4 linked regions of the Canis lupus familiaris genome follow. The protein of the gene in region 3 interacts with the protein of the main gene of each other region in a pairwise test. Links are inferred from orthologs where the notes say so. Each region holds a gene or a part of one and is shown on either strand. Other genes may lie near its edges.

What was found. The genes of interacting proteins can lie anywhere in the genome.
Region 1: the proteins of IPCEF1 (region 3) and CYTH2 interact in binary tests that used the Homo sapiens proteins (3 or more experiments, as listed by UniProt). The link is inferred for Canis lupus familiaris from reciprocal best matches to the Homo sapiens genes IPCEF1 and CYTH2.
Region 2: the proteins of IPCEF1 (region 3) and CYTH1 interact in binary tests that used the Homo sapiens proteins (3 or more experiments, as listed by UniProt). The link is inferred for Canis lupus familiaris from reciprocal best matches to the Homo sapiens genes IPCEF1 and CYTH1.
Region 4: the proteins of IPCEF1 (region 3) and CYTH3 interact in binary tests that used the Homo sapiens proteins (3 or more experiments, as listed by UniProt). The link is inferred for Canis lupus familiaris from reciprocal best matches to the Homo sapiens genes IPCEF1 and CYTH3.

The regions. Positions count from the first base shown.
Region 1 is NC_049222.1:108,468,669-108,475,594, reverse strand, and holds the end of CYTH2 (cytohesin-2), read left to right. Parts: intron 1-889; coding exon 890-1,008; intron 1,009-2,158; coding exon 2,159-2,239; intron 2,240-2,733; coding exon 2,734-2,846; intron 2,847-2,932; coding exon 2,933-3,081; intron 3,082-3,484; coding exon 3,485-3,597; intron 3,598-5,782; coding exon 5,783-5,861; intron 5,862-6,075; coding exon 6,076-6,147; intron 6,148-6,245; coding exon 6,246-6,400; intron 6,401-6,491; coding exon 6,492-6,579; 3' UTR 6,580-6,758; downstream 6,759-6,926. UniProt on the Homo sapiens protein: Acts as a guanine-nucleotide exchange factor (GEF). Promotes guanine-nucleotide exchange on ARF1, ARF3 and ARF6. Activates ARF factors through replacement of GDP with GTP.
Region 2 is NC_049230.1:3,549,086-3,556,642, forward strand, and holds part of CYTH1 (cytohesin-1), read left to right. Parts: intron 1-858; coding exon of another isoform or gene 859-860; coding exon 861-937; intron 938-3,772; coding exon 3,773-3,844; intron 3,845-4,450; coding exon 4,451-4,605; intron 4,606-6,215; coding exon 6,216-6,294; 3' UTR 6,295-7,557. UniProt on the Homo sapiens protein: Promotes guanine-nucleotide exchange on ARF1, ARF5 and ARF6. Promotes the activation of ARF factors through replacement of GDP with GTP.
Region 3 is NC_049222.1:44,638,264-44,646,617, forward strand, and holds the start of IPCEF1 (interactor protein for cytohesin exchange factors 1), read right to left. Parts: upstream 5,258-8,354; 5' UTR 5,257-5,257; coding exon 5,094-5,256; intron 1,407-5,093; exon of another isoform or gene 1,326-1,406; intron 1-1,325. UniProt on the Homo sapiens protein: Enhances the promotion of guanine-nucleotide exchange by PSCD2 on ARF6 in a concentration-dependent manner.
Region 4 is NC_049227.1:11,642,159-11,649,715, forward strand, and holds part of CYTH3 (cytohesin-3), read right to left. Parts: intron 5,965-7,557; coding exon 5,884-5,964; intron 4,783-5,883; coding exon 4,670-4,782; intron 4,565-4,669; coding exon 4,416-4,564; intron 4,224-4,415; coding exon 4,112-4,223; coding exon of another isoform or gene 4,111-4,111; intron 1-4,110. UniProt on the Homo sapiens protein: Promotes guanine-nucleotide exchange on ARF1 and ARF6. Promotes the activation of ARF factors through replacement of GDP with GTP. Plays a role in the epithelial polarization.

The DNA of each region.
Region 1 (6,926 bases), about 64 Mb from region 3:
CAGATATTGGCAGTCCATTTGTTTTCTGAACACTAACGGAGGTGTCCCCGCCTCCTGACCTTTGTGTGTCCTGTGTCCTCTGCCTGGGAGGCTCCCTTCCCCTTTCTGTTCATATTTCTGGACCCTCTTGTGGTGCCACCTAGAGTCTCAGGAGTAGCTCGAGTGTGGTAGGGAACATGGACCATGACATGCCCAAAGGAGGGTTGACCAGTGCCACTTCACAGAGATCCCAGGGCTGTGGACCTTCATGGGGGAGCTTCGTAAAGTTAGGGCTTTCTCGAGGAGAGGATGTTCAGGTCCGGTTTGAAGGACGAGTCAGTGTCCACCTGGTGCAGAGAGATGTTTGTTTACTAGGTCATTCATTTCACACATTCTCTGTGGCCTCCCTCGAGCTTGCCCGTGTACTAGGCAGGGCTGGAGACCCAGGACAAGAGCTGGCCCTACCTTGCCTTTGATGAGCCCTTAGACATGGCTGCCACACTCCAGAGTTAGGTGTAGCTCTCCTGGCCCAGGGTGAGCCAAGAAGGCCCCATCCATCCTGAGGCTTGGCCCTCACAGCCCGTGACATGCTGCTGCCTACTAACAGTGTCTCACGGTATTCTTGAAGCCCAAAGCAGTTGTAGTTTGTCACACATTCAGCAAACTCACTGGGCTCCTATTCCTTGTGGGACTCTGCCCTTGCTGCTGGACTAACCAGGCAAAGGCAGAGGGAACAGTAGGTGTGAAGGCTCTGAGGCGGAAGGGATGGTATTTAGGGACCGCTGTGAAGCCCCAAAACAAGACTTGACCCAGTTCTGTCCAGGCTGGGGGTGGATGCTGAGGTCCTTGGGGAGGCGGTGGGGCGTGGCTTTCTGGCTGTTGAGGCTGAGACCTGGTCCCCACCCACCAGGGGATCCAGTTCTTGGTGGAGAATGAGCTTCTGCAGAACACACCCGAAGAAATCGCCCGCTTTCTGTACAAGGGTGAGGGCCTGAACAAGACCGCCATCGGGGACTACCTGGGGGAGAGGTGAGACCCTGCCCAGCTCCCTGTCATCCCCTGTGCCCAGCTCCTTTTTTTTTTTTTTTTTTTTTTTTAAGATTTTATTTATTCACGAGAGCCACAGAAAGAGAGGCTGAGACACAGGTAGAGGGAGGAAAAGCAGGTTCCATGCAAGGAGCCCGATGTGGGACTTGATCCCAGAAATCTGGGATCACGCCCTGAGCCAAAGGTAGGAAGCACCCACTGAGCCAGCCAGGCGTCCCTGCCCAACTCCTGCCCTTAGGCCACCAGCTTTCTCTCCTGAGAGAGGCCCTAATAGACCTGCCCTCTGGCTGGATTGTGACAGGGGAGTGATGGAGGGGTCAGTGGAAGCCTGGGGCTGTCTGTGCTCATCTTGGGGGCATGGGAATCTCCGGCGGATGCCTGAAAAGTTGAGGACCATCCATTTATGTCTGGGGACAGTGGAGAACATCTGTGAGTCTTGTGGGAGCATGAGAATTGTGTAGACAACTGATGTGCATTGGAGTTACGTGGACAGCTAGAGAGCATGGGCACCTGTGGACACCTGGGGTACGAGGTCTGTGGATATGGGTGCCTAGGGATTTGTGGACATCTGGGCTGATATGAACATCTGAGGGACACAGGACCGTCTGGATGTCTGGGTTGCTTAGGAATTGTGTGGACATCAGGGAATGTATAGAACTTTCTGGACACCTGGCAAGTATAAGGACTATCAGATGGTTGGGATTATGGGGATTGTATGGATATCCAGAGATGTTTGGGGGCCCTCTGGACATCTGGGGCATATGGGGATTGTTTCAGGAGCATCTGGGATGCATGGGGACAGCCTGGCAGGTGTGGGGACCATTTCTGGACATCTGCAGAACCCGGGGACCATCAGAGAGGTGATAGTAGGTGGGACACATCTGCTGTATTCCTCTTAACTACAAAGGTTCAGCTAAACCAGGGATGATCTTGCAGCAGATGGTCTTCCCAAGAGCGTGTTCTGAGCATTCCTGTCCTGGAGCCAGGCCTGTGCTGGGGCCAGGCTAACATCTCGCCTGCTCCAGTGGCAGCCACTATGCAGAAGCGGTGGCCGAGACTCCCCAGTGTTTGCTTCCTGTCCACTCCCACTCCAGCCTCCTTCCTGTGCATGACTCTGTCTCTGTCCTCCCAGGGAAGAGCTGAACTTGGCAGTGCTCCATGCCTTTGTGGATCTGCATGAGTTTACTGACCTCAATCTGGTGCAGGCCCTCAGGTGAGAGGGATAGGGTTAAAGGGCAGGAATGTACCTGTCAGGGCTTTCTTTACAGATGATGAAACCCTACTCAGGAAAAAAAAAAAATTAGGGAATCGAGCTTTTCATGTAAGGTAAAAGTCCACAGTAGGGCCTCCTTCAGGCACACCTGTATCCAGGTGCTCAAATGGTGTCTGAAGGTCGATTTTTCTCTATCTTTGGGTTGTCCTTGCCACTGTGTTGGCATTGCTCTCTGTAGACCCTCTTCTCACATGGCAACAGAAGCCCTTGGTGACCACCAGACCTTTCTAGCAACCTTAGCAGAAAGAAAGGCTTTTTTTCCTGTATAAATCCCTCAAAAGGCTTACAGCCAGTACTCATGGGGCAGCTTGGATCCATACCTGAGACAGCTGCTGAGGCCACAAGGCTGTTACTGCTTCCTGACACGGGGAACGAGAGCGGGGAGAGGTTTCTGCCAGTCCTGGCACCCACACCCGGCTCCCCCTCTAACCCAGGCAATTTCTCTGGAGCTTTCGCCTCCCCGGAGAGGCCCAGAAGATTGACCGGATGATGGAAGCCTTTGCCCAGCGATACTGCCTGTGCAACCCTGGGGTCTTCCAGTCCACAGGTGGGCGACCCAGACTTCTGGGGTCTGGGCAGGCGGGCCGGGGGGCCCACTGACCTGTGTCGTCACCACCTGACTGTCTGGTGCAGACACGTGCTACGTGCTGTCCTTCGCCGTGATCATGCTGAACACCAGCCTTCACAATCCCAACGTCCGGGACAAGCCGGGCCTGGAGCGCTTCGTGGCCATGAACCGGGGCATCAACGAGGGTGGGGACCTGCCAGAGGAGCTGCTCAGGGTCAGGCACCACCCCCTTCCCCTTCCCTGCCACCCCCCAGTGCCATCCCTCTTCCTACCCTGGGTGGGCCCTCCTCCATGTTGGGCCTCCTGGTGCCTGAGCTGTCCGGGGTGATCATGCCAACCTGTCCGTTTCCTTTTCCCTTCCTCCCTCCCAGGCCAACCTCAGTCTCCATCTCTCTGTCTTTTCTGTCTCTTGAGCTTTGCAGACTGCTGCAGCTCTGCCTCTTTTCTTTGTCTTCTCTCTCTGCTCCCCAGGCCTCCTTCCACCCATCTGCCTCCTCCCCTCCTCTTCCCCGGGCCACTCCACCAGTGGTCCCACCGCCTCCCCCCTCCTCCATGGCCAGGTAGCCCTGGGAGGGTCCCTGGGGCCTGGTGTTGCTGACTGCACCTTCGCCCCTCAGAACCTCTATGACAGCATCCGAAATGAACCCTTCAAGATTCCCGAGGATGACGGCAATGACCTGACCCACACCTTCTTCAACCCGGATCGGGAGGGCTGGCTCCTTAAGCTGGGTACGTCCCCTCCTGAACCTGCTGGCTGCCTCTGCAGGGGGACTTTAGGGGGCCCAGGCTCAGGACCTGGCTTTCATGCGCATTTGCTATGTGATCTTAGGCCCATGATTTGACCTCTCTGAGCTTTGTTTCCAAATCCTCAAAATGGGCCTGAAAACAAGATGAGGCCTGTGTGCTGGGCCCCAGCACAGGCATAGAGGAGGGGCCCCATAAATATGTGTGGCTATAAGGTAGGCATTGGAGAGCACCGAATAAATGCCAGGCTCTGCTTATTGAATGTAAAGTTCCCAACAGGGCTGGAATGCGTGGGATGGGGCCCATCCCCCAGGAAACACGGGGTGCCAGCCAATTCAGGATACATTGTTAGCAGGGGGGGTGTCAAGCAGGTGCCCCTTTCCATGGGGTTACCTGAGGATTGGAGTTGTGCCCACTTGTGGCTTCATGGGAGATTCACCTGGGAACTCTTAAAAGCCCAGCGGCCAAGCCGCAGACTCAAAGCCAGGATTTCTGGGGCAGGATGGGTGCCAATCATGTTGAAAGCCCTCTAGCTGCCTTCCAGGGCAGAGCCAAGGTTGCGAGCAGCTGGCTGGGAGCCATGCCTGGGGATGGTGGGTACCAGGGGAGTGCTAGCTGTGGCTCTTTAGTGAAGAGGTAGCGGATGGCTGCTCCGGAGACACAGGGAAGCTGAGGAGGAATAACAGCCAGGAGCAGACAGTGGAGGCTGCTGGAGCAGCGGGAGGGCCCAGTGCAGGGATTGGAGGGGCGGGGCAGGCAGGGCTGTGTTCCCTGCACCGTGGAATTTTGCTCTTGAGCCAAGACCTGGCTTCCCCAGCAGCAAGCAGGGCCCTGACTGGGTGCATAGATGTCCTGGTAAAAGTGTAAACTGCTCTTTCTAGCCCACAGCGAGTGGCCAGATTCCTGCATCAGCCCCAGGGGTGGGGGCCAGATGAGTCCAGAGTCAGATTTCTCTGGAGGCCAGGAGGTGCCCCTAGCCAAGAGGGTGGGAAAGAGGAACTCTGGCAGGGCAGCTTCCCAGGAGCTAATTCCCCTGTAGACCTTTCCCACCCACAGGAATGCTTCCCATTTCCCAGATGAGGACTTTAAGGCTTGGTCACTGTCCAGCAGCTACAGGGCAGGGGTGGCTTGGGGCCCAGATCTCTGACCAGAGTGTAGCACATGTTGAACTGGATCAAAGGAGGGGGGGGGGCTGTGTTCACCAAGATGCTTAATGAAAGCCGTTCTTAACTGTTACTGTCTAGTCCCTTGGGGACCACAAGGAACCTAGAGGCAGGTCGTCTTGAGGTGGGAAGGTATGGGTGCAAGTGGGTCTGGAGACTGGAGCCCAGAGAGGGCAAGAGGTGGCCCTGAGGTCACACAGCCAGTTTGTCCTGGAGCTCACATGGGTCCCCACAGCCACCTCAGGCCAAGCACCGGGGGTTTTGTCCTCTTCCCTTTGGGATGACCTTCTGGGGGTGAGATCTCTTCCCTCTGGCAGTGGAGGGCCTTCCCAGCCGGCTGAGGACCTGTCCCGGGGGTGGGGAGGCACCAAGCAGCGACACCAGGAGGTGTTGGGGGGGCTCAGGATCTTCAGCCTCCCCAGGAGGGAGAGGGTCATGTCGATGTAACTCGTTTTCTTCCTTCTCTTCCCCCCTCCCCTTCCCTCTCTCCTTCCCTGCGTCTTCCTCTCTGCCCTCTCTCTTTCCCACCCCCCTGTGCTTTCTTTCCCTGGCCCGCCCTCTTTCTGTTGCCTGCGGCTTTGGGGGGCACCCCATTCTCTGCCTTCCCCTCTCCTCGCCTGGTCCTGCCTGCTTTCTCGCTGTCTGCCCCAGGAGGTAGGTACGCTGCCGACCTGACCTGACACCGACCTGACACGGGAGGGGCTGCCAGGGGCTGCCATGGCCCTGGGCCATAGGAGGGGGCTGGGCACTCGGGACTCGGACTCCCAGGCTCTGGGCAGACAGGCAGGCTTAGAAAGTGCGGAGCCCCACGTTGGGGGTGGGCGGGATCCTGGGGGGGGGGGGCCTGAAGGCCTGTCCCTGCTTGTCTCTCTTCCCCCGCATTTCTTCATCCCAGGCCCTGCCAGCCCCGCCTTCCCTGCGCTCACTCTGCCTCTCAGTCCCCTCCCTGCCTCCCGGAGGCCCTGTCCCCCCTGTTGAGCCCAGGCCCCCTCCCACCCCTTCCCTTTCAGGGGGCCGGGTGAAGACGTGGAAGCGGCGCTGGTTTATCCTCACTGACAACTGCCTCTACTATTTCGAGTACACTACGGTGAGGGCAGAGCTGGGCTTCTCTCTGGGGTGCTGGGAGGAGGGGCTGGGGGTCAGGCTCTGGGGTCTGAGGGAGGAGGGCTATACCAGTCCACTAGCGCTGCTGTGACAAAGTACCACAACCAGTGACTTGAACCACAGGCACTGCTGGGGTTGGGGAGGAGGAGCTGAGCAAGGACTGGAAAGTCTGAGTCTTGTCCACCTTGTTCCTTCAGGACAAGGAACCCCGAGGAATTATCCCCCTGGAGAATCTGAGCATCCGAGAAGTGGATGACCCCCGAAAACCGGTAAGACCCTCTCTGTGCCCCTTCCTGCCATGGTGGCACCTCCTCTGGGCCCAGGGCCAGCTCTGACCTGCCATCGCTCTGTTCTCATGTCTCCCCAGAATTGCTTTGAGCTTTATATCCCCAACAACAAGGGGCAGCTCATCAAAGCCTGTAAAACAGAGGCCGACGGCCGGGTGGTTGAAGGGAACCACATGGTGTACCGGATCTCGGCCCCGACACAGGAGGAGAAGGAGGAGTGGATCAAGTCGATCCAGTGAGCCTGGGCTCCGGGGTCCTTGGGTGGGAGCAGAGGGCGTGGGGAGCTGGGCTCCTTGGCCCTCACCCTGGACCCTCCCCTTCTGCAGGGCAGCTGTGAGTGTGGACCCCTTCTATGAGATGCTGGCGGCAAGGAAGAAACGGATTTCTGTCAAGAAGAAGCAGGAGCAGCCCTGACCCCCGCCCCCAACCCCATTATTTATTACGGAGCTGCCCCACCCGGGTGGCCGGACCCCTGGGCCCTGGGGCTGCGGATCCTGGTTCTCTGTTTGGAAAATTCACCACCTCTAGCTCCTCTCTCGTTATTTGTAATTAACACACTGTTGGTAATCTTATTAATTATTTAACCACTCGCAGCCTTGGACCCCTCCTTTCTTGGGGTCGGCAGGGCTGAGGGGCTTGGGCTAGCCAGCCAGGTGGCCCATGCATGCCAGGGGCCAGGAGCTCCAGTCTTTGCTGGGAGCTCTTATGGTACGTGAGGAACATGCTGTCAGAGGGTGCAGCCACGGGGGCGGGGAGCGGGT
Region 2 (7,557 bases), on a different chromosome or scaffold from region 3:
GCTGTCCTGAGCAGAGCTTCACGGCCCCAGCGTGGTCCTCCCACTGAGACGCTGAGGAGGACGGAGGGGCCCCTTCGGCACTCACGGCTGCCACCGTCCCTCTGGTCTGCGGCCCCTTCCTCTCGCTCATTGTGTTCAGAGCTCCACGTGAGGAGTCCAGGCTTGGAAAGGCTCCCGAGCGCTGCCTCTGTGCACCGTGGGCTCCTCCTGGTGCAGGGACTCCCCCTTGTCTCACCCAGGACTCGGGAAATTTCATTTGCAGGACACTGGCCCGGGGCCTGAAAGCCAGTATAGAATTTCACTATAATCAGGAAGGTTGGGGTAGGAATTTGGGTTCCACTCCCCAGGAAAGCCGTAGATGTGATTGTGAAGGGTTGACACATTGTAGTTCCCCTTTCCTCACTCCTGCCCCCTCTGATGAAGCCCTCCTCCTGTACCCGGGCAGGGTGCCCCAGCAGTGTAGCCCCTCTTCCCCCTCTTTCTTCTGTTGGCCCATTTCCACCACACCGACGGGCTTCCATGGGCGCATCTCCAGCCCAATCAGATTTACATCGCGTGTCCTCATCGCCCGGGTTCCCTCCCCAGCCATGCTCTCATCCCACTCTCCTGAGTTCATCTCCAGGTGCCACCTGACTTGCTTGCTCTGCTTGTACCCACAGACTTTCACTCTGTGAAAGGTGCTTCTGTTTTGGCTCTGTGTCTTGTTACTGATGTAAACTTTGCCATGGTCTCAATGTTCTGGTACCCCTGCCCCTCGCTTCCCCCGCCCTCGAGCTTTTTGAGGGGGGGGGGGTCATGTTACGGAGCCTGCTCCCGTCTGCTTGGCTCCTGTCGGACCCGCATCTCTTTTTGCTCCGTAGGTGGCAGGGTCAAGACTTGGAAAAGACGCTGGTTTATTCTCACTGACAACTGCCTTTACTACTTTGAATATACGACGGTGAGCCTCTGGGTCTGCTGCGGGACTAGGGGGGGCCAGGCCTCTGTTTCTGTCGGACTCCAGTCAGGGGTGGGGAGGTCCCAGAATCGGGGGGCCCTGCAGGTGATGTGGGCAGAGGTGGAAGCCCTGCATGGCACAGGGTGTTAGAGGCGGCGTTTGGAGCCGGGCTGGGAACAGCCAGCCTGGGTCGGTTGCCAAGAAAGGGTTTATAGCCCTTGAAAGGTGCATGAAAATCACAATGTGGAGAATTCCGATTTTCTGGATGCAGGAGAAGCAGCCCCGGGGGTTGAAAGAATAGAAGAGAAGTAAAATGAAATGAGGGAAGTTGGGAGTTACTGGAGTTTGAAGTTTTCTCAAACCGTGGAGGTTCTGTTGGTTTTCAGTGGGAACAGAATCACAGCACAGCTTTGTGTTACACGCAAGTCTCTTTCATAAGAACCTGTGAGAATAAAAATGAGAAAATAAAACCTTTTTCGAAGCTCCCTCTGCTGTGGCGCCCAGAAAGCCTGGCTGGCCGGGCTCAGACTGGCTGCCCACCTGTCTCTTGATCCCTTGTCACGCCTCCATTCTTGGTAGTGTGGGACTTGTGTCTTGAGATAAATCAGGGCAGTTGGTGCTGGTTCTGCAACCAGGTCTTCACTGAGTAAAGGTCACGGATCCTGCCAGGACAGTGAAGAAGGTAGGACCTCAGTGATGAAGGAAAGTCAGGGATGTAGCCTCAGTAGGAGCCAGGACCCTGGCACCTGCCTGGTGAGGTGGCTGTACTCTGTGACGCTCTGTGGGGAGTGGGCATCAGCCTGTGATGCGGCGTCACCCCCAAGGGCCACACGTTAGGACATCCAGTTAGTTTCCTGTTGTTCCCGCCCCCAGAGCACCGCTGAGAACAGCTCAGAACATTCCTTTCTGCCCTCCCCTCCCCAACACCCCCCCGGCCCTGCCCAGAGCTGGCCTTTTTTCTCAAAGATACCTAGACTAGTGGTATCTTTAAAGTCTTGTTTGGGTTTTTCCCCACTATTCTTTGGGTTAAAATGAAACATACACAGACACCTAAGCAGTATGCCCTGAGTTCGGGAGCAGGCTCCGCGAGATTGCAGGATGCTGTGGCTCCTCGTGATGCCAACTGTGGTGGCATTGCCTGATCCCACACTCCATCCAGCAGCGTGCCGGCCGGCGTTCCATGAGGCCACAGGACATCAGGGAGTGTGTTTCTGCAGACACGGGGGTGGGGGGCCTCAGAGTTAAGGTGGTAGGGAGAACGTCCACACAGAATCACCCAACATGGTACAGGGAATCTAGGGGAAGGACTGACAGCTGCTTCAGTACAGCTCAGGGACCAAGAGCAGGGGCAGAGGCAGTGGCCTGGGGGCTGGGCGGAGGGACCTTTCCCCACACAGCCCCGCTGCCTCCCCCTTGCCCTGAGTCCAGGAGAAGCAAACAGTAGGGCTTCTTCCCTCTTCCGATCGGCGAGCAATAAAGTCTGCAGCTGGGTAGGAATTGGTGAAATAGGAAAGTGAGAAGATGGGCCTCACTTCCTGCAACGTTGGTGTGTGCCCTGGGCTGGGAGCTCAGTGGGAGCTCTGTCACAGGGAGTGTGCCCGTGAGCGGCGTCGCCACCCCCAAGCAGGACAGCGGCGGTGCCAGAGAAGAGCTGGAGCGCGGCAGGTGTCAGATGGGCCTGCCCTCTGCTCACGGTTCTGTCGTGACTGTGGAAGGGGCCAGAACACAAGCTGGCCACCCCCCACCCCCCGCAAGGTGCAGGCTGAAGAACAGGTGATCTGTGTAATCACAGATCTAGAAGTTAGGTAAAAACTATAAGGAGTGGAACAGACTAGCCGAGAATAAAATCACCATTACAGAAGAAAGATTGGAGACAGTCACAGATTGTGTCTGGAAAAGATGAGTGTGAAGACAGGGAAGAGGTAAGCAGTTAGGAGGACAGGAAAGGTGACCCCAATGCTGGAGCGTCGGCACCCGCGCATACACAGATCCCATCTGTTCCAAGATTATCCCCCCAAAAGGGAAAGGAACCTGAATCTGCAAATGGGGAGTGCACAGTGTCTCAGGAGCATTTGTCGTAGGGAGCTTGGTGCCAAGGCTTAGTCCAGCTACCGTGGTGAACTTGGAGTGAAGTCGTGGGCTGCGGGGTGGCCGGATGCCCAGGAGAGGGAGTGGGAAGGTTGGCGTTAGCTGTCCGGCGGGTGCGGAGTGCATGTGCGTGGTGGCCTTTGTTGAGAGGGCCCCCGGGGGCAGGGGCCTGGCAGGGGTGTCCTGGCTCTGCTCTGGACAGGCCTGGAGGTGCCTTTGCAGACCTACCTGGAGTCGTCAGGGAGGCAGTTTCTCTTTGAAGATCCTACGGTCTGGCGAGGGGAAAGCTAGGGCAGGGGGTTGTGAGTGTACATAAACGCACTAAACTGTCTCCGGCGTTCGAGGCAGCGAGCCGGGCACCTAGAGCAAGACCAGGGCTTTCTGGGGTTGCCGACACTGGAACAGAAGGTGAAGGCGTGTGTGCAGGAGCCGGGCGGAGGAGCCACGTGGTTTCTGTGAGAGGCTGGCGTGCTCCCTGCTGGAGGGCCTCCCGTGGGCTCTTCCCAGACACGTGCTGAGCCTCCCCTGGGCACTCACCCCGCAGAGGCCGCCGGGCGCAGGGACTCCTATACCCACACGCTTCCTGGCCCGTTCCTGATTTTAGAATGTAGGGTGTGGGCCCCAGAGCTGATTTGTGAGCCCGAGGTTATGGGAGAAGAGCAGAGCCCCGGCAACTTGTGAGTGAGGGACGTGGGGGCACGCGAGCTCATGACCCAGCGTGAGGTCTCTGTGTCTGCCACTGTTCTACAGGATAAGGAGCCCCGTGGAATTATACCTTTAGAGAATCTGAGTATCCGGGAGGTGGAGGACTCCAAAAAACCAGTGAGTATCTCCTGGGGGACGGGGTAGGGGTGGGGGTGGGGGGCCAAAAGAGAAGGTAGCAGTTCTTAAAACAAGGCTGAAAGTGCAAAGATTTACCTAAAACTGAAAAGGAGCGTCGTGCCCCTGATTCAGCCCAACTCAAAGTCACCTTCACGTTCGGGCCAGAGACGAGGCTATGGCTGACCTCTGCCCCCCTGCCTCTGCGTCCCTGTGGCCTGTCCACGAGCGGTGGGATTGTCCTTCCTTAAAAGGCAGCAGGAAGCGCCCACAACCGGGCGCCCTCCCGACGCCCCCGGTACCTGGAATGTGCCGGCGCTACGGGCCGGGCTCTCGAAGGCACCTGCGTACCTACCGCTGTTCGCCGCGTTGCTGGTCTGTTGGGAGCGCAGCGGACGTGTGTGCCTGGTGTCTTCGCTAGCCGGGCTGACGGGCAGGCAGCCGACATTCTCCGGCGTTCACTGCTGGGCTCCTCTTCGCCGTAGGAAAGCACACGTTGCCTGTGTTTCACGGGAGTCAGAACGAAGGGTCTTTTGAGAAATAAACATTTTTTGGTCTTGATCAGTAGCTTTCTCAGGTCTTTGTCTTCCTCTCTTTTCTGATTCTCAGAACTGCTTTGAGCTTTACATCCCTGACAACAAAGACCAAGTCATCAAGGCCTGCAAGACGGAGGCTGACGGGCGGGTGGTGGAAGGAAACCACACCGTGTACCGGATCTCGGCCCCGACGCCCGAAGAGAAGGAGGAGTGGATTAAGTGCATCAAGTAGGTGATCTGAGGCGTCGCGGTGCTTTCACCGGACGAGGGCTCTCTCCTCGCACACGTCTGCTGCCCAGCGTGCCGCCCGTCCCTCGCCTGGGCTCCTGGGTTAGATCTTCAGGGGAGAGTCTGACTGGAGTCCCAGACTGTCTGTCAGTGGGTCCTTGGGTGCTTGGCCAAGACAGCAGCTCGAGTCTAGGCTTCCCAGAGGGCTCCTCGGCCTCGTGGTCAGGATGGCAGCGCAGTGGAGATAGTAATTGTTTTATCATTTCATTTTCATTGAAGCACGCTCTGCAGTTGCCTCAAGCTCTTGTGTGTGCATGGGTTACCCTCTGTGTCCCGTGTGCCCCGTTGTGTGATCACTGGAGCGGCCCACTGGCAGTGCACAGCCGCTCCTACTCTGTTCCGTGGCCTGTACTCCTACGCCCAGAAACGCTGAGCCCTCTTTATAGACACGTTTGGAATCGTTCCGTCCTTTAGTGAGGGTGGGAGGGCACACACAGGCCCTCCCTGGGAAGCTCAGTTCCTGGCTGGGCCCCAGCACCACCTGGCCGGTGGTGCAGGATTCGCACACCGTGCACATGCCCTCCGGGTACCGTCTCCTCACTCTTCGCCGCAGCTGGGGAAGCACGGTCGTCCCCATTTTACAGGTGAGGACACTGAGGCACAACACAGTGAATAAAATTGTCCAGAGCCACAGAGATGGTGCTGGTCTTCAGACCTGAGCCTGTGACTCAAGAAGCCGCACTCCTGACCGCCAGGCAGCCGTCGGCTTCGGCGCCCCTGGCTCTTGACACTCAACTGAGGCCTTTGTGACAAGGTCCCCTTGGGACACATGCCAGGGACTGTGGATTCTTGCTGCCCCAAGGAGCTGTGCAGATGCACTTGGGGACGCGTCATCTCTGGTGAACAGACCCCTGTCGTCTACCTGGTCGGGTGCAGAGCCAGTGGGCAGCTGGGCTCGTGGGCAAGCGTGGAGACTCGTGGGCACTTAGAGTGTAGCAGCTCTGGAAAAGCCCTTGAGCACCCGCGGCACAACGTGCTGGACAGTTGGGATTGACGAGTGCACCAGGGTGGCCTTGCTGTCACCGTCCTGCGCTGGGGTCTCTGGGGCAGTGCCCGGGCACACGCAGGCTCCCTCCCCGCCGAGCCTGGCCGGCCGCCCCCTAAGGGCCCCGTGACACTGCGGACTGCCCACCTGTGGTCTTGGTTATCGAGTCGGTCGGTGTGTGCGGGACTCAGAAGCTGTGTAGTCCAGAGTGGGGCGGCCATTGAGCAGCACGTGCCAGACCACCACGGGCCACGGATCGTGTGGCGCTCGCAGTCACGTAGAACTGAGGTCCCACGTTTGTCTTTCTGGGCCGGAATATTAGAGTCTGTAACACTCTGTTCGTAAACCCACCCCATGGTTAGGTAGAAACAGGCAGTAAATAGTGCAGAACTGTCTTGGCACACGGACCATGTGTCTCTTCCAGAGCTTGTCCCTTAAGTCATTGTGAGGACACGGTGACCGTTGGCGCCACTGACTTGGCCTTTGCAGTGACAGTCGAGGGGGGTGGGGGTGCAAGCCCTCCGGGCCTGTTCCTCAGCCTGTTTGTTCTCTCCTCTGTGTCCAGAGCAGCCATCAGCAGGGACCCTTTCTACGAGATGCTAGCGGCGCGGAAGAAGAAGGTCTCCTCCACGAAAAGACACTGAGTCTGCACAGCGAGCGGTGCCAGCGTGCAAGGCGTGAGAGGCCCTGGGTTCCTTCTCCGTCCCCCCCATGGACGGGGGGCGGGCTGCCGAGCAGGGCTGTCACCTGCTGGGCGTCACCCTGAATTCCTAGAGACTGGCTTCAGCTTTGCTATTCATTTTTAAGTGGGAGAAGGGTAGGCAGTTAGCACCGGGGAGAGGGATCTGACGCCCGTCAGGCGAGCCTCTCTCTCTAAAAAGATCAGAGCCCCTGTCAGCACATCAGCCTCCTTCCTGCAAGTCTCTCGCTCAGCAGGTCTGATAGCAGAGCCCGAAGCCGACTGTTTACCTCTTGGTTATTTCCCTGTGAAGAAGCCTTCAACCCTGCACCATAAATACATGTATCGATATATTATTACTCTATGTTAAGAAAGAAGTGGAATGGAAGAGAAGCCACGTACTATAAAGATATATTTTTGTTTTTTAAAGAGAGAAAAAGATAAAGTAGAGCCGTTCAGAGGCATCCTGCCTGGTCCGGGGTGGGGGCTCTCTGGGCAGCCGCTGGGGTCCCCCCACCCGCCCCCGGGCCGCTGGCGGGAGCCGCCTTCCCAGCAGCTGGAGGGCCGGCCGGGCCGCGGGAGAGGCGCGGGCACGGCGGGCACAGGCGGGCACAGGCGGGCAGGCCGCTCCGGCTCTCCGCTCCACGCGCTGGGGGCGCCGAGGCCAGAGGAGAACCGCTGGACACTCGCACTGTCCTTTCTCTTTCCGAGTTCCTTCTTGTCGGGCTTTAAGACGCAAAGTCAGCATTTTCCCTTGAGCTTAAATACCCAGTAACCAAAACTGTGAGGCAGGCAGTCCCAGCCGAGGCTCGGGACGGTTTCCTGCTCGGTTCCTCCTCCTCCCCCAGAGCTACAGTCCTCGTTTTAGAGGAAGGAGCAGGTCTTATCACCTTAGGTCTTCAGCTTTTTCTGCCTCAAAACTGGCCCTGACCTGGACCGCTGTGGGTGCGCTGGGGCGGGGGCCAGACAGGAAGGGGCCGCCGCTGCCCGGGGGGGCGGGGCACGGCCGCCTCGTGTCCTTCCCTCCCGCCAAGGCCCGTGTGCAGGCTGGCCTCACGCCTCCTGCCTTGCGGTGTGAAGGGAGCCACGACACGCGGCGTCCTCCTGCCGTTCTCTCAGGGACTCTCGGGGCCGCTCCTGCCACCGTCCAGGCCACGCGCTGGTGCGGGCAGAGGGGGGCCGGCCCGGGCCATCCCGGCGCCCCCGTGCCGCCCGGGGCCAGGCGGGG
Region 3 (8,354 bases):
CTCTGATTTGGTATGAACTGGGTTTAAATCTCAGGTTAGCAATTTACTATGTAATCTTGGGCAAGTAATTGATATTGTGGGACCTCAGGACTCTATCTGTGAAAGAGGCATAGTAATAGGATTTCCTTCTTAGGGTCAGACAAAAGTGAAGTTAGAAAATATATTTTTTTATTAAAAAAAAGAAATTATATATTTTTTAAGATTTTATTTATTTATATAAGAGAGAGTGAGTGAGAGAGAGAGAGCACGAGCCAGGTGAGGGGCACGGGGAGAAGCAGACTCCCCATGGAGCAGAGGACCCAGTGCCAGGGTCCATCACAGAACTCTAGGATCATGACCTGAGCTGAAGGCACACACTTAACAGACTGAGCCACCCAAGCCCCCCAGAAAATATCTTTATAATACTCACAGCAATACCTAACATGTAATAAATGTTTGATAAATTATTTTATTGTCATAAAACATATTTATTCCTTAAGCACAAACGTATTAAAGGTCAGCTATATATACCCTTTAAAGATAATATAAAGCATTGTTTATATAACTTTTCCTGACTCAGAGGGCTAAGCAGCCCCTCTCCTAGAACAATAGAACAGCTGAATCTATTGTATTCCTTAAGCCACTGCTAAATTCTCTGCCAATTGATGATTTTCATGTATCGTGCCATATGATTGTTGGAACTACCTACAAATAATCTACTGTTATTACTCCCATGTTTTAGATGAGATAGTTTAGGCAACATAGAGGAGGAAGTTAGTAACTGGGTATTTCCAAATTCAAATCCAGACTCTACATCCTGCTCTCTCTCTCTCTCTCTCTTTTAAGATTTTATTTATTTATTCATGAGAGACACAAAGAGAGGTAGAGACATAGGCAGAGAGAGAAGCAGGCTCCATGTAGATAGCCCAATGTGGAACTTGATCCCGGGACTCCAGGATCATGCCCTTGGCCAAAGGCCGATGCCCAACCACTGAGCCACCCAGGAATCCCCACAGCCTGCTCTCTTAACCGTGCAGTACCACCCTCACTCCCTCAAAGCCTCCCACAGGATGTTGTTCATAATTAACTCCTCAATGGCCATGGTATTTCATGAACCATGATGCTGTGGTCAGGTCTCCCTGGTTGGATGATAAGAATACCAATGGTAGAGACCAAGACCCAGTCTCCTTCATGCCCCAGGGCCTATCCCAGTAAAGCACTCAGCTTAGGCGAGAGTTGTCAAAATGATTTTTTAATTAATAGATCTATTAATTAGTGGGAATTATTATTTTAGTGGAAATCTAATCCCTTTGCTCAGCCAGCTTTCTTTCTTTTTTTTTTTTCAGCCAGCTTTCTAATGTAAAATAAGAAGAGCTGATAGAGGATGATGGAAGACAAAAAGAAAAAATTCATCTCTAATTCTTCCAGTAAGCATTGGGGTTTGTTCACAATACACTGCTCCAGTCACTAATATTAAGATTTCCTTTGATCATGTGGAATATTTCCCTTGTGCACATCGTATCCCTTACCCTCCTAACAATCCCTTAGGTGTGTTCACTCTGTCTACACCCATTGCAACCACTGTAGTGAAAGGCACCTCTCTCTTGAACCATTGCAGAAACATCCCAACTGGGGTCCTGGCTTGCTTTCCTGCCCAGAGTGATGTTTTTTCAATGCACATTTGACTATTCCTCTCTTTCTTTAAATATCTACAATGGCCATTGAGATAAAGGCTAGTATCATGAAAATCTACAAGGAAGCTTCTGCCTGGCCACTGCGTCCTTTCCAGCCCCATCTTGGATCATTTCCATGTCTCTTTCTTTCTTGATTCATTGGCTTTCTTTTTAATTTTTTAAATATGTTTCATCAATCTTAGAGCTTTGTGCCTGTGCTTCAACAGCCCCCACTTAAGATGGTTTATAGCTACCATCTTATTCAGCCCTTAGACCAAATGTCATTTAGTCAAGAAAGTTTTCCTGAGTTCTTATGAGACATCAACTTCCTTTTGCATGCTCTCATAGCATGTTCATTGTCTTTTATTCATAGAAGTTCTCATAACTGTACTGAGTTATTATTGTTACAATTAGTTCTTTCATATCTGACTCCCCACTATAGTATAACTTACCTGAAGGCAGGCACTGTGTCTTGTTCACTTGTTTACTACTGTTTCCCCAATCTTTGTACACAGGATGATTCAATAGACATTTGTAGAGTAACCAAATTAAAAATACAAACTAGTAGGGCAGCCCCTGTGGCGCAGCGGTTTAGCGCCGCCTGCAGCCCAGGGCGTGATCTGGAGACCCTGGATCTAGTCCCACGTCAGGCTCTCTGCATGGAGCCTGCTTGTGTCTCTGCCTCTCTCTCCCTGAATCTCTTTCTTTATTTATGAATGAATAAATAAAATCTAAAAAAAAAAAAAAAAAAAAAAAAAAAAAAAAAAAAAACTAGTAAAAACACTAAACTATAGAGGAGTTTCCATAAACAAATCCTATGAATTCCAAAGTGTTTTGCTTAGGGGAATGGTGCTGTCAGGAATATCCCTCTAGAATTCACCTTCCCAATCTGCAGGATATGGAGACTGTTGATGTCAGATTTCTCTGAATCAAAGAAAAATGGGTAGAAACACAATCAGTGGTACAGCTGGGGAAGAATAAAGCAGAGGGTGGGGCATACCTAGGCACAGAGCCATTGTAGAGGCTATGTGTCAGTGTTTACTTAATAATTTTAGAGTTTCAGTACATTATTTCTTGAAGTAGTAAACATACATGAAATCAAAAGTTTCACCAAGAAGCTTCAAAGATAATTTGAGGCAGAATCATCAAAACAATTTAAACTCAAATGTTGCTTCTCCTCTTCCATAAAAAGCACAGACCCATAATCCAAAAGAATTAGGAAATGAAATGGTGGTCATGGATACTAATATAAATATGTTTGCTTATTGTTTAGACAAGGAGAACCAGCTCAGCTAACCATGGTACAGCATACTTGTTATCTATATATTGACAAGCTAAATATGTAGCACCAAGATTTTGATAAAAATATTTATAAAGCACACAATAAAAGCAGTTCATAAAAAAAATGATGCTGACAAAGGTGTTTTGAAAGTAATAATTTTGCCTTGTTCCCAACACTTCCTGAGTGTATCAGTTTAAGCAAGCTGCTCATAAGTAAAAAGAGTTCAAGGAAGAAGGAATAGTTATTTGATATCTCTTGATAAAGGATTTTTTTTATGGAGGATTTTTGTATAATACCCAGGAATTAAAAGTGTATAAGAACCTAATGATAAGGCAACAAATACCTTTCATGAGTCAAGAAGTTTCTAATTCTTTGCTTTCAACAAGATTTTTAAAAATTTATTTTAATTGTTATTTATTAAAAGTAGTTGCTGTGATAGATCACATGAGGTATTTGACATATAGTTGGAAGGGGTTCAAGAGTGCTTCATTCCCAACTATTTATTTATGTGTAAAACAGGTCTAAGGTCACATACATAAAAACCAAGAAAAGGATCAAAATTGGTGCTGAACTCTCTCTCATTCTAGCAATAAATAATATTCACCTATAAGCAATTCTATAATTAGGGGGAAAGCCTCATATATTTTATTAAATGATGCATTCTCAATAAAAATATGTACCTCTTGTATTAATCATTATTTTGTCAAAATATCATATTCATGTTATTTGTTAAATTATGTACTAATAATTATAGTGATAACCCACTCCAAATGAAATCTTATATGGCTTAAAGAATTTGTCATGCACAAAAATTAAATCAATTTCAGTTTAAATATGTATTTTTTGCTGAAATGTATAAAACCATCAATGAAAGATTTTAAAACATATATATAATTGCATAAAAATCCATGGAATAGTAGAATAAAAATATGAGTTCCCGGAGGGTGGAATGGGGTGGAGAAGAAAACAGCAATGTAAAATTAAAACTCCAAAGATGACTTTTTAAAAAATATATATGTGAGACATATCAGATCTCTGCTATTTATATCACACAGGTTATAGTTCTTTTAATATATATCAAAAGAAATATACATATTTTTAAATATAACCTTTTATAACAAGATTTATCATGTGCCAGAAATGACATCTTTTGCAACTATTGAAACATATAATAAAAACTAGGTGACAATGTAAGGTGTCAAGGAGTATATAGGGCTTCCAAATTACTTTCTGGGTACACAACCAAAATAACATGTTTCAAAACTACAACACACATAAGCATTAGGGTCAAACATTTCACCTTGCCACTCATTAAATGTGGAAACTTCTTAGAATCACTTAGTTTGCCTAAATAGACACCTCATATGTTAAACAGAAATAATAACAATAAGCTCAGAGATTTTGTGAGAATTAAATGAAATATCACATGAGAAACTTGCAGGACCCTATGCATACTCACCAAGTGGTAGCAATTATCTTGAATGGGAGTAATTACCTGGAAATGGCTTTGTTATAGAAAACAATTCTTCCTGATGGAATTAGCACACAACTAAAGGATGTGAGCAAGTATGATAACAGGTTTCATCAAATAAAATAGCTTTTACTCTTCAAGGTTGATTAAACTCCCTATCCTACTCTCCTAGAGACATTTTGGGTGCCTTGTTTCAGAGTTTAAGGGTTTCGGGGAATAGTTTTCTCAGTCCCATTTGAGACTATTAACTTCTTTAAAAAACAACTCCTTAACACAACACCATATGAGACTCAGCCAAAACAATGAGGTCATAAATACTTTAAGTTTGTGAAATGAAATAAAATGTATTCCTGATAAGCTCTGTAACTAAAAAGTGGAAAACACATTTCATTACCAAATGAATAATAAAGCTAATTTCAAGGAAGAAAAATTCCTTAATATATACTGATTGTTATGGATTGACTATGTGTGTTCTCCACTCCCCCTCCCAAAATTCGTAGGTTTTGATTTAATCCCCATGTAATGTGTTTGGAGGTGAGGCCTTTGGATGCTGATTAGGTCATGACAGTGGAGTTCTCATAAATGGGATTAAGGCCATTAAAGAGGCCAGAGAGCTAGCTCCCTCTCTTTCTACCACACCAAGAGACAAGAAGAATTGGCAATCTGCAAGTCAGAAGAGAGCTCTTACCAGAACCCGACCGTGATGGCACCATGATCTTGAACTCCCAGCCTCCAGAACAATGACAAATCAATTTGTGTTGTGGACAAGGCACCCAGTTATGGTATTTTGGCATAGAAGCCCAAGCTGATGAAGAATCATTTTTCTTCACTAGATGCTGGTGAAGAATCATTCTATTTTGTTTCAGGCACAAACAAAATATAAGTTTATTCTAGCAATATATTTCAAGAACTGTTTAGCAAATTAGTTAAGTTAGAAATAGGGATTCTGGTCTTATATCATTTTAAAACTGAAGAATAAACCAAGAATATCAACATGCAACCAACGCTCTATTGATAAAGAAGGCAGTTACTAGTATAATTGGTACTTTTTGTTAAAGAACGAAGAAAGAAATTCCTAAAGGCAGTTATTGGTTCAGCTGATCCAAAAGTAACTTGCCTCCCCTCTAGACCTTATAATCTTTGGAATAATACAGCAAAATAAGCACCATGGCCAGTTTTAAAGGTTTTTGAAAAGGAAATGATTCAGATGAGTACCGGGTGTTGTATGGAAGTGCTGAATCACTATACTATACACCTGAGACTAATATTACATTGTATGTTAACTACCTGAAATTTAAATAAAAACTTATTTTAGGGATCCCTGGGTGGCGCAGCAGTTTGGCGCCTGCCTTTGGCCCAGGGCGCCATCCTGGAGACCCGGGATCGAATCCCACATCGGGCTCCTGGTGCATGGAGCCTGCTTCTCCCTCTGCCTATGTCTCTGCCTCTCCCTCTCTCTCTCTCTCTCACTGTGTGCTTACCATAAATAAAATAAAAATTTAAAAAAACTTTTTTTTTAAAAAAAGACAATTTATTGTGCTTAAAAGATAGCTCAGGTAGAATAAACTATGGCCTAGGTTTGTTCTTTTTTCACAGAGCAAGACAATGCTGAACTAAAATTTTAAAAACCAACATATTAATTCATAATGTGCTCATCCTTTAAAATTACAAGCCTGGTATATGACAAAACATTCTCAGAGCAGCAAAGAAACTTATAGAAAGTCCATGAACATGGGCAAACAATGTGCATTATTCTTAATCCAAGAACTAGAGCTAAAGAGGAAATAGAAAATGCTGGTCACTCTAGAGGCAGAAGTCTCAGACACAGAAAGTATGTAATATGTGTGGCAATAAACTGTACACTTAACCAGCAATGAGAGCCGTAAGCAAGCATCTTCTGTTAAATGGTAGTCTGTGATAGCAGCACCATAGGAATCAAGAAAGGAAATCCATCTTTGTTCTTATATAAAAGCAAAGGACATGGAAAAAATCCATTAGTTTTGCAAGTTAGCAGGAGATCTCTTGTTAAGATAGAGCAGGAGAGAAGGAAACAAAATATAAGAGCCCCCTATGAGTACAAACACAGTGATGTATGGCATGGGGATGGTCTGGAGTTATTACTTGATCCAAGAAGTTGAAATTCATGAAAGGAAAAATGCCTTTATCCAAATTATTTCAAACATTTTTTCTTTTCTTTTCTCTTCTTTTTTTTTCTTTTTAAGATTTATCTATTCTAGGGTGGGGGAGCAGAAGGAGAGGAAGAAAGGAACTCAAGCAGACTCCACGCTCAGTGTGGAGCCCAACCTGGGGCTCAATCTCATGACCCTGAGATCACAACTAAGCTGAAACCAAGTCCCATGCTTAACGGACACCATGCAGGCATCTGCATTTTTCTGTTAAATTTAAGCTCTATTATCATCTGGATTCTGATCTATTTCCTGCATGCTTTAGAAAATCTTATTCTTTCTTTCCTTCCATTTATTTTCTCCTTTTTACTGTTAACTTTTCCACTCATTTTGCTACATTTCTGCTCTCTCTCCACTTTGAGAATGAACTGACAGATGGTTTTCAGAGCCACAGCTTTTTTTAAAACAGAAACTATGATGATTAAAATTACTTTATTTTCAACACCACTAAAATACTGTGATACATCATCTGAAGAGATTGGCAGACCTCTCCCTCACTTGTCCTTCTTGCATTCCCACAGAAGCTGTCAGTCCTGACAATCAAGACTTAGACAGAAAAATCTACAAATCTAAGCAAGGAAAGCTCCTCTTTCAGCCAATCATGTCAATCTCTGCTCCCAACAGACCATTTTACCATAGTAACAAGGAGGTGGCAAACCGCAAGACATCTTGAACAATCTGCCTCTTTTACCTCCTGGAAGAACCTGCACCAAATACAAGTGGCTGTTGACCATGCCCCTTCAGGAGGCATGAAACTCCTTTGTGTCCCTGGCCCTTCTGTGAGCTTCTAGAACCCAAAACTTCAAAGATTATGGTCTGCACCCCAACATGCCTTTAGGGCCCAAGTGAGTGGGCAGGGCTCTACCAATCTCCCAATGGGGCCTTGGCATGTCACCCTGTGTCCATTGCTCCCAAATGAGACACTTTCCCTTCCCTAGCTCATAGAACTGACTAGATGCTAGAAGAGACTCATCTCTGTGGGGCTGATTCTGTTCTCATGATTGTCTTAAATTCCATAATGTCAGCCTTGTAAGTGATTGCTCTCACAGGCCTTCCAGAATTAGGCTAGTATGCTAACTTTGACTATTCAAATTTTTTATATAGGCAAGGGTCCTGCAAAACATATTTGTACACACACACACACACACACACACACCGTAGCAATCTAATACAATGCAGGTTAAATCTACATGATTACCTGCCTCTTCTTCTAGGCCATTGACAGATCCCAAGAACTTCTAGGAGCCAGGAATTCTAAAAACACAGTCATTCTAGTTGTGTGTTTAGGCCCAATCTAAGGTATCTGTGATTAAAACCCAAGGAACCTCCTCAGAGGTTTGTACCAGCACCAAGATGCTACATCAAGTAGGGAAAGGGCCATGAGGCCTAAGATGAAGCCAAAGAAAACATTGGGAGCCCCTAGGCAAAATATCAATTACTAGGTCCACTATAGTCTGACCCAGGATCACACCCTGGTTCTCTACAATGGCAGCCCCAAAGTAATGACACCTGATTATTTCACCCCAGTTTGTGAGGGTGAGCACAGATGCAGTGCTCTAAGATGAACCAGACAAGAATGGCAAGAGATGGCCCTTACCTTTCAACAAATTGCACCCCTAAATTTCTCTATTATTCTTTATTCTACAAGAATAATGATCATATTTTCTCTCCATGAAAGATAGCATCTTTCTCTGCTTGTAAAATCCAGACTCTATGTGCACTGTCCCGAGGCAGCCAGTCACCCTATTCAGCTCTCCCGAATG
Region 4 (7,557 bases), on a different chromosome or scaffold from region 3:
GTGAGGGCTGTCGGGGCTGAGGGACGAGGGTGTGCAGACAGGACGAGGGGAGGAAGGCTGTGTGGGTCACGTGGGGGGAAGGGGTCAGGAGGGACAGGAAGGCACACTTGCCAGCTTCCCAGTTCAGCCTGGGGCTGAGGCAGGACGGCCTCCCAGTCATAATGTCTGCAGAAATCCAGGCAGGGAGGACACCCCACTTCAGGGGGAGAGGCATGACCACTGGGATTTGGTGCCACTGGGCCAGGTCCCAGGGAGGTCCCTCTGGGATCCCTCAGCCCTGCCTCACTGAACAGACATTGGACCTCCTCTGGACGGCCGTGGGCAGGCCAACATCTGACCGGAGAAGCTGGTGTGTGGGATGGGATGCCTGGCAGTGGGGACAGGGCCTCAGCTGTGCGGGGAAGGCAGGCCTGCTATGTCTCCCCCCGTCTCTGACCGACACCCCCAGCTCCAGCCACCTCACTACTGCTCCCTGTCTGAAGGGTCTGTGTGCCTTACCCAGATTCCTGTTGCCCCCTCCACACCCCCAGGCCTACAGACATGTCCCCTCCCCATCCCCCAGTGTCTCTCTGAGCCCCAGCTGGACCCCTGCTCCCCACACCCCTGTGCAGCTACCCTGAGACTCTCGGGGCTTCCCTGGAATCCTCTGCTCCCCCTGGACCAGGCCTCATCTGTTCTTCTGAAGAGCCAGCACAGAGCTGGGTAGAGGAGCCCTGTTTATTCTCCAACCTCCCGAAGCACCCCAGGGAAGCCCAAGTTCACAGGGCAGGGACCCAGGAGACCCCTGTCTCAAAGTCCTCCAGTGATAGGACAGCACGGACTCTCTCCAGGTACATCCCCTGCCCCCACGAGGTCTTTCTCTGGCCCCTGTCAGCCTCACCACTGTCTCCAAACAGCAGCCACAGGCGTCCCTTGAGAGGACAAGTTCATCCCAGCTCTTGATGTCTGAAGCTGCCAAAGGCTCCCACCCCCAGCTGAAGACCCCAATCCCTCGGTGGCCTCCATGGCCTCCTCCTGGCTCCCCTCCCTGCCCCTGCCCTTCCTTCTGGCTGACATGCCAGCGGCAGCTCCGACTCTCCTGCCAGCACCTTCCCTCTGCTCGCCCCACAAGCAGTTCTTGGAGAATCCTCCCAGGAGTCCTGCACCATCCACTTGTCCAGCACCTGCTCTTCTGTCCACGCTCCTGTCACTGGGTCACTAGGTGGCGGTCTAGGTGTTCCACTCACCTCCAGGCCCCACCGCAGGCGGTCCAGGAAGGCTTCTCAGCACTTTGCCCCTGGGCTCCTGCCCCACTGCTCCTGCGCTCAGTGGCACGTCCAGGGGAGCCCCAACCCTGGTCCAGTTGTCACAGCCAGAGGGCCTCCCAGCCCAGCCGTAGGTACCCTTACAGCTCAGGGCCTGCCCAGCAGGGGCAGGCATGGGGAGGCGGCTACACTTTTGGTGTTGGAGCCACCCCAGGTTTTGCTGCAAGGGAACAGACAAGCTCTGCATATGTGTGTTCCTGGCTGAGCTTCAGGAGATGGGGATGGACACACACACACACACACACACACTCACTCTCTCTCACTCCTGCAGAAAGGAGCCTTGCTTCTCCACCCTGTGAACTTCCTGCTAGTTCCATGGCCGTTCCATGGAACTAGCACACAGCATGTGGGCACACGGCATGTGGGCACCCATTACCCTGCAACAGGTTTTCTGCAGGACAGGTCAAGTCTGATCCACGTTCCTGTTTTCAACACAACTGATCCATTCTCAAAATTCAGCGACTATAAGGCCTTTACTTGACCATCATGAAGAAATGCTACAATGCTCCCATGCTCTCACAAAGCATGCAGGCCTTTTGAAAGTGCCACCTGCCCTAAGACTACATTTTTTATGAGAAACACAAAGCAAGGCCACCCGGTGACCTCTGTTCCTATCTAAGCACATGCACAGAACACACGCTGTTTCCTACCCTTGTGTCATAGGTCTCTGGCCAAGCACTTCTGTGTCCAGGCCTCGGTCTGCCCTGTGCTGGATAAGGGCCCAGAGCTAACCCAGGCCAAGCTAACGCATCTTTAGCATCGGCTTCCAGCAAATTTACTGCTTTCTTGGTCTTCAGAGCCCAACACCAACCGGCTGCCCCTCAGTAGCCAGGCCAGTGTCAATACTGCGGGGAGGCGGCCTGTGGGCAGGATGGTCTCCAGGCCTCAGCAGCTCTGGAGAGCAGACCAACCTGGGGAAATGTGCTCTCTGGACGGCTACAGCTCTGTGAACACAGCGGGTACAGAGGTTGCCTGGGCCAGAGGGAGGCAGCAGCAGGCTTGCTGGCGCTCTGGGAAGGTGGCTCCTGGGCAGTCACTGGGCTGGCCAGCTCAAGGTCTGGGCAGTACCATCACTGCTAGGTCTGTGACAGCTAATGAGAACACCAGTGCCATAACTTACACACACACACACACACGCACGCACGCAGCGGCGGAACATGGAAGGAGCAGACTTTGGTCCTCCCACCTACCCGCTGTGCCACGGCCATGTCTGGCTGTATGGGGCCCCTTGGGCACCTACCCAGCACCCAAGCCAGCTCTGTGGCCCCTAAGGGTGCTCTGGGCACTGCTTACATGTACAACCAGAACACAGGTTGGAAAATAAGGCCTGCTGTGCCTTTACCTCCCTCATTTTGTTCTGTCTTTAGAAGCAGGAGCATCTCCCACTGGTGCTGAGGCTACACCAACTGCCAGGCAGGCTTGCACTGTCACTGTCACCGTCACACGAGGGGCATTCCCTGGCCGTGCAGGAACAGGAGGGACCCAAGTGCAGCTGCTGGTGTGTCAGACACATCCCTCCTCTGCCCTCACCCCAGGGCCACAGGTGTGACGTGACCTCAGAGATGCATCTCGAAATCCATGAAAGCATTCAAGTCCACGCTTAGGGCTCTGAGTTTGCAGACAAAGATCTAGAACTCCCCTAACTGGCAGCACAGGCAGAGAAGTCAGAGCAAGACCCCAAATCAGAATGGCTGAGCCCCAGCACACACCTTCATGCCTCTTACCCACACTTGATTAAAAACACAAAGTTGCCGGACTTCTTGATGTCTTACAGTATGTTCTCAGAGTGCCCGGATGGTACACAGTTGTCACGTCTCACAGGCTCTCATGTCACAGTAAGGCAGAAATCCCAATCTCCCCAGAGTAAAAACAAAACAAAACACCCCACCCTAACAATTCATTAAATTGCCCAGAAAATATCAATGTTTCTGTACTTCTTTGTCAATGGTTAGGAAGCCTTTTAAACATTTCCGGATTCCGTCCAAGGGTGGTGCAAACATGCGCTGTTTGGTTAGTATGAGAGGCAACCGGTGATGTACGGGAATGGAGCAGGCAACCAGCAGTCTCGTGGCTGCTCAGGCCCTAAGGACACTGAGGGGCAAGCTCGTTCCCACACGGCATTCCCATGCGCTCCCGGGCGCAGAAAGGCTGGCATTCCAGCCATGCCTCGCCCGGCCCCGGAGGTGTAGGTGTCACATTCGCTGCACCCTGCATGAAGCTAACCCCGGCAAGTCCAAAGCCACATGGGTCAGATGAATGGCAGCCACAAATCAGAGCTTCACACAGACCAACGGGGGAGAGAAACTGAGAGAGGAATGAGCAGCTGGGGAAGGGGCAGGAAGCCACTGGGTACGTACCTCCTAACGCAGAACAAGCAGGGACAGCCCGTCACAGAACAGAAAGGTGGGAGCCACAGGCAGAAGGAAAACAAGAAGGCACATTTAAACCACTCATCAAAAATCAGCCACACCAAACCAAGAGAAAGGCACGCAGGTTCTCGCAGTAAATGCACCTGCCTCTGGTACAGAAAACTGCTTGGGTCTATCTGGATGCTAAGTGAGCAGTTTTCTCGGACGCTCGTGCAGCCCGGGCGTTACTCTCCTGCCGTGGACACTGACAAGATGGCCTCGTTCGGACAGGGCAGGGCTCAAAGCAGCAGCCATCAAGTCTGGGGCGTGCGGCCGGCTACCGTGGGCGGACTCGGCCCAACAGCCCTTGCTTCTAGCGGTTCTGCCTTTGGTCGGGGGCCTTGGGGGCCGAGGGCTGGGGGCTCCGAGCGCGGGGCCCACCTGCTGGCCGCCACTCACCCAGCTTCAGGAGCCAGCCCTCACGGTCAGGGTTGAAGAACGTGTGTGTCAGGTCATTGCCATCATCCTCGGGGATCTTAAACGGCTCGTTCTTGATACTCTCGTATAAGTTCTGCGAGGAGCACGGGGACAATGGTCTCAGGGATGCAGCCGGGGGCCAGGGGTGGGGAGGGCCCAGTCAGCACTGTGTCCCCGAGGGCGCCAGGCTCAGCGGGACCAGGGCCACGAGGTGCCTGAAGGTTAAGGGGCGGCGGTGGCAGCTCCTGAGGGGCGAGGGCCAGTTCCGTGGAAGAGGGAAGCTCACCCGCAGCAGCTCCTCCGGGAGATCCCCTCCCTCATTGATGCCACGGTTCATGGTGACGAAGCGCTCAGCCGTGGGCTTGTCCCGCACATTGTGGTTGTGGAGGCTGGTGTTGAGCATGATGATGGCAAACGACAGCACATAGCAGGTGTCTGAAAGAGGACAGAGGGAGCCGGGGCGCTCAGCCGCCTGCCCGGCCAGAGGCACCCCCTCCACCCGGCAGAGGCGCACAGTGCTGGGGCCCAACCCTCACCGACCTGTGGACTGGAAAACGCCCGGGTTGCACAGGCAATAGCGGGACGCAAACGCCTCCATCATGCGGTCGATCTTCTGAGCCTCCCCCGGAAGTCGAAAGCTCCACAAGAACTGCCTGCGAAGACACCAACACCAGGGGATGATGGTGTCTCTCCCTCTAGAGGACCCCCAACCAGGGAATGCTCCAGGCAGCCCCTGGATGGCAGAGGGAGGCACTGGGGGCAGAGCCCCAGGACCCGCAGGAGCAACGTGGCGGCCGCCACTTGCTGCCCTCAACTGTCCACCCAGGGACAGCCGGCACCACCCGCAGGAGCACGTCGGGGACCCCTGGCTCCATCCAGAGACTGACCAGCTAAAAGAAAGGGAACCCTGGCTGCCATGACCACACCCCAGACTCGCCAGGCCTGTGTCTCTGTGTTGCAGAGTTGTCAGCACCTCCTTCAGCCCAGGCCAGCTGAGGCACCGAAGAGGACAAATGGCAGACAGCAAAGCCACCCCCAGCTCTGTGCAACTTGCGGAAGCCGTATGGGGACAAGGGCCAAGAGCAGGACAGAAACATGGTCAGTCACACACTTTGCAGCCACAGAGCAGGAAGTAGTCGCAATGGAGACTGCATGGCCCTGGCTTGGGGGACAGCCATCGGAGCCTCAGCTGGGACACCAGGAAGGAAACCGGATCCTCTTGGTGGTGCAGGAAGAGCAGAGTGTACAGGACGATGCCTCGAGTGGACATCCAGAGGGATGACCTGGCACCTCTACCATGGTGGCCGGCAAAACCTCAGGGCCACACAAGGGCCATCCTCTTGCATTCACCCCTATGACATGTAATGATGGCTGGCTTTGCCTGGACAAGGCAGGGACTAGAGGGCAGCCTCTGACAGCAGGCCGTCCACACGCTCCCCACCCACGCTGGGGCGTCCACGAGGCAGGCATCTGAGATCAGATGCCCCAGGAAGCAGACCCATGCCTAGGCCGCCCCAAGACTCTGCTGCAGCAGTGGGAAGAAAGTATGCACTGACTACTGAGTACCAACTGAGATGAGGGAGAAGCAAAGGAGTGGGGAACGGCACGCACACCCAGCGGTCCCACCAAGGCGAGCACAAGCTCGGTCCGTGAACGCCTACCCAGACCCTTGGGCAACACCCTCTCCTCTGGGGGTGAGCCCCGGCCTCCTGCTCCAGCACCTCCCCGCTAACAGCCGAGACTCTGACACTTACCTTAAGGCTTGGACAAGGTTCAGATCAGCAAACTCATGGAGTTCGACAAACGCCTGGAGAACTTTAATATTAAAGTCGTCCCTGGGAAAGAAAGCAAACACAGTCCAAGTCCACTGCACAGAATTTCTCAATCATCTCAAAAGAAAGATATTTCCTACATCCAGCAGGTGCTTGTGGTTTTCCATTTTGCCTAACTGGAAGTTAAGATGTATTGCATTGCAAGTTCGTTCTCAGACTTGAGGCTATTAACACCCCTATCTGCTTCCACTTTCCTTTCATCCTTTGCCCTAACACCTTCTAAAATATGACAGAAATGGTTTTCACATTTATTATTCTTATTACATACTGCCTATATCATGCCAGCAGAATATGGCTCGAGTGGATGAATCCATCTTTTCTTTTTTAACACCACAACCCATGTGCCTAAAACAGAGCCTGGCATGGACTCAGAACTTAGTATTTTTGTGGAACTCAAAACCTGCAGACACTCAGTACTTCTAGCAACAGGAACTGCCAGACTTCGTATTACACAAATGTCATAGTTCATCTCATGCACTTGCCACCAAACGATGGAGAATTCAGACTCTAGACCTCATGGCACAGACGATTAAATGAAGTGCTGCAACCCCTGGGCCACTGTTCAGGTTTTCTGTGGGTTTGTTTTTAGCAGCTTTGTCCGAACATAATTCACATCCCATGCAATTGTCCTATTTCAAGCATACTTTTCAATGGCTTTTAATATATTCACAGATGTGTACAACTGTTACCATTATCAATTTCTGAAGACTTTCATTACCCCAATCCCAAGCACTTTCATTTCACCTGTCTCAAGCACTTCACGTAAAGGGAGGAACACAACACATGGTCTTCTGCAACTGGCTTCTTCTATTATCTCCCTGTTTTCATCCACGTGGTAGCATGTACCAGCACTCTGTTTCTCCTTTTACCAATTAATATTCCATAGTATGGATGTACCACATCTTATTTATCCACCAGTTGAGGGACATCTAAGTTGATGGACATTTGAACTGCTTTCACTTTTTGGCTAACAAGAATAATGTGGCTACAAACATTGGTCCGGGTTCGTGCAGATGTATGTTTTTACTTATCTTGGGTGTATACCTAGGAGTAGAATTACTGGGTCACGTGGGGACATTAGTATTTTGAAGAGCTGCCAACTACTTCTCACAGCTACTGCATCGCTTATCCTACAAGCAGTGTGTAAGAGGTCTGATTTTTTCACATCCTTGGCACTGCTTATTATCTTTTTATTATGATTACAGACATCCCAGTGGGTGTGAAATGGCAGCTCACTATGGTTTTGATCTGTAGCTCCCTGATGGGGGCTAAGGATGCTGAACATCCTGTCGTGTGCTTATGGCCTTATCATATATTTACACATCTTCTTTGGAGAAATGTCCATTCAGATGTTTTTCATTTGTAATTGTCTTGTTACTGAGTTGTAAGAGTTCTTTATATATTCTAGATAGCAGTCCTTCTCAGACTTATACATGACTTGGAAAGATTTCTATTTTGTAGATTGCCTCTTCACCTTCTTGATGACATCCTTTGAAACACAAGTTTTCAATTTTTTTTTTTAATATATATTTTTTTAATTTTTATTTATTATTTGTGATAGTCAGAGAGAGAGAGAGAGAATGAGGCAGAGACACA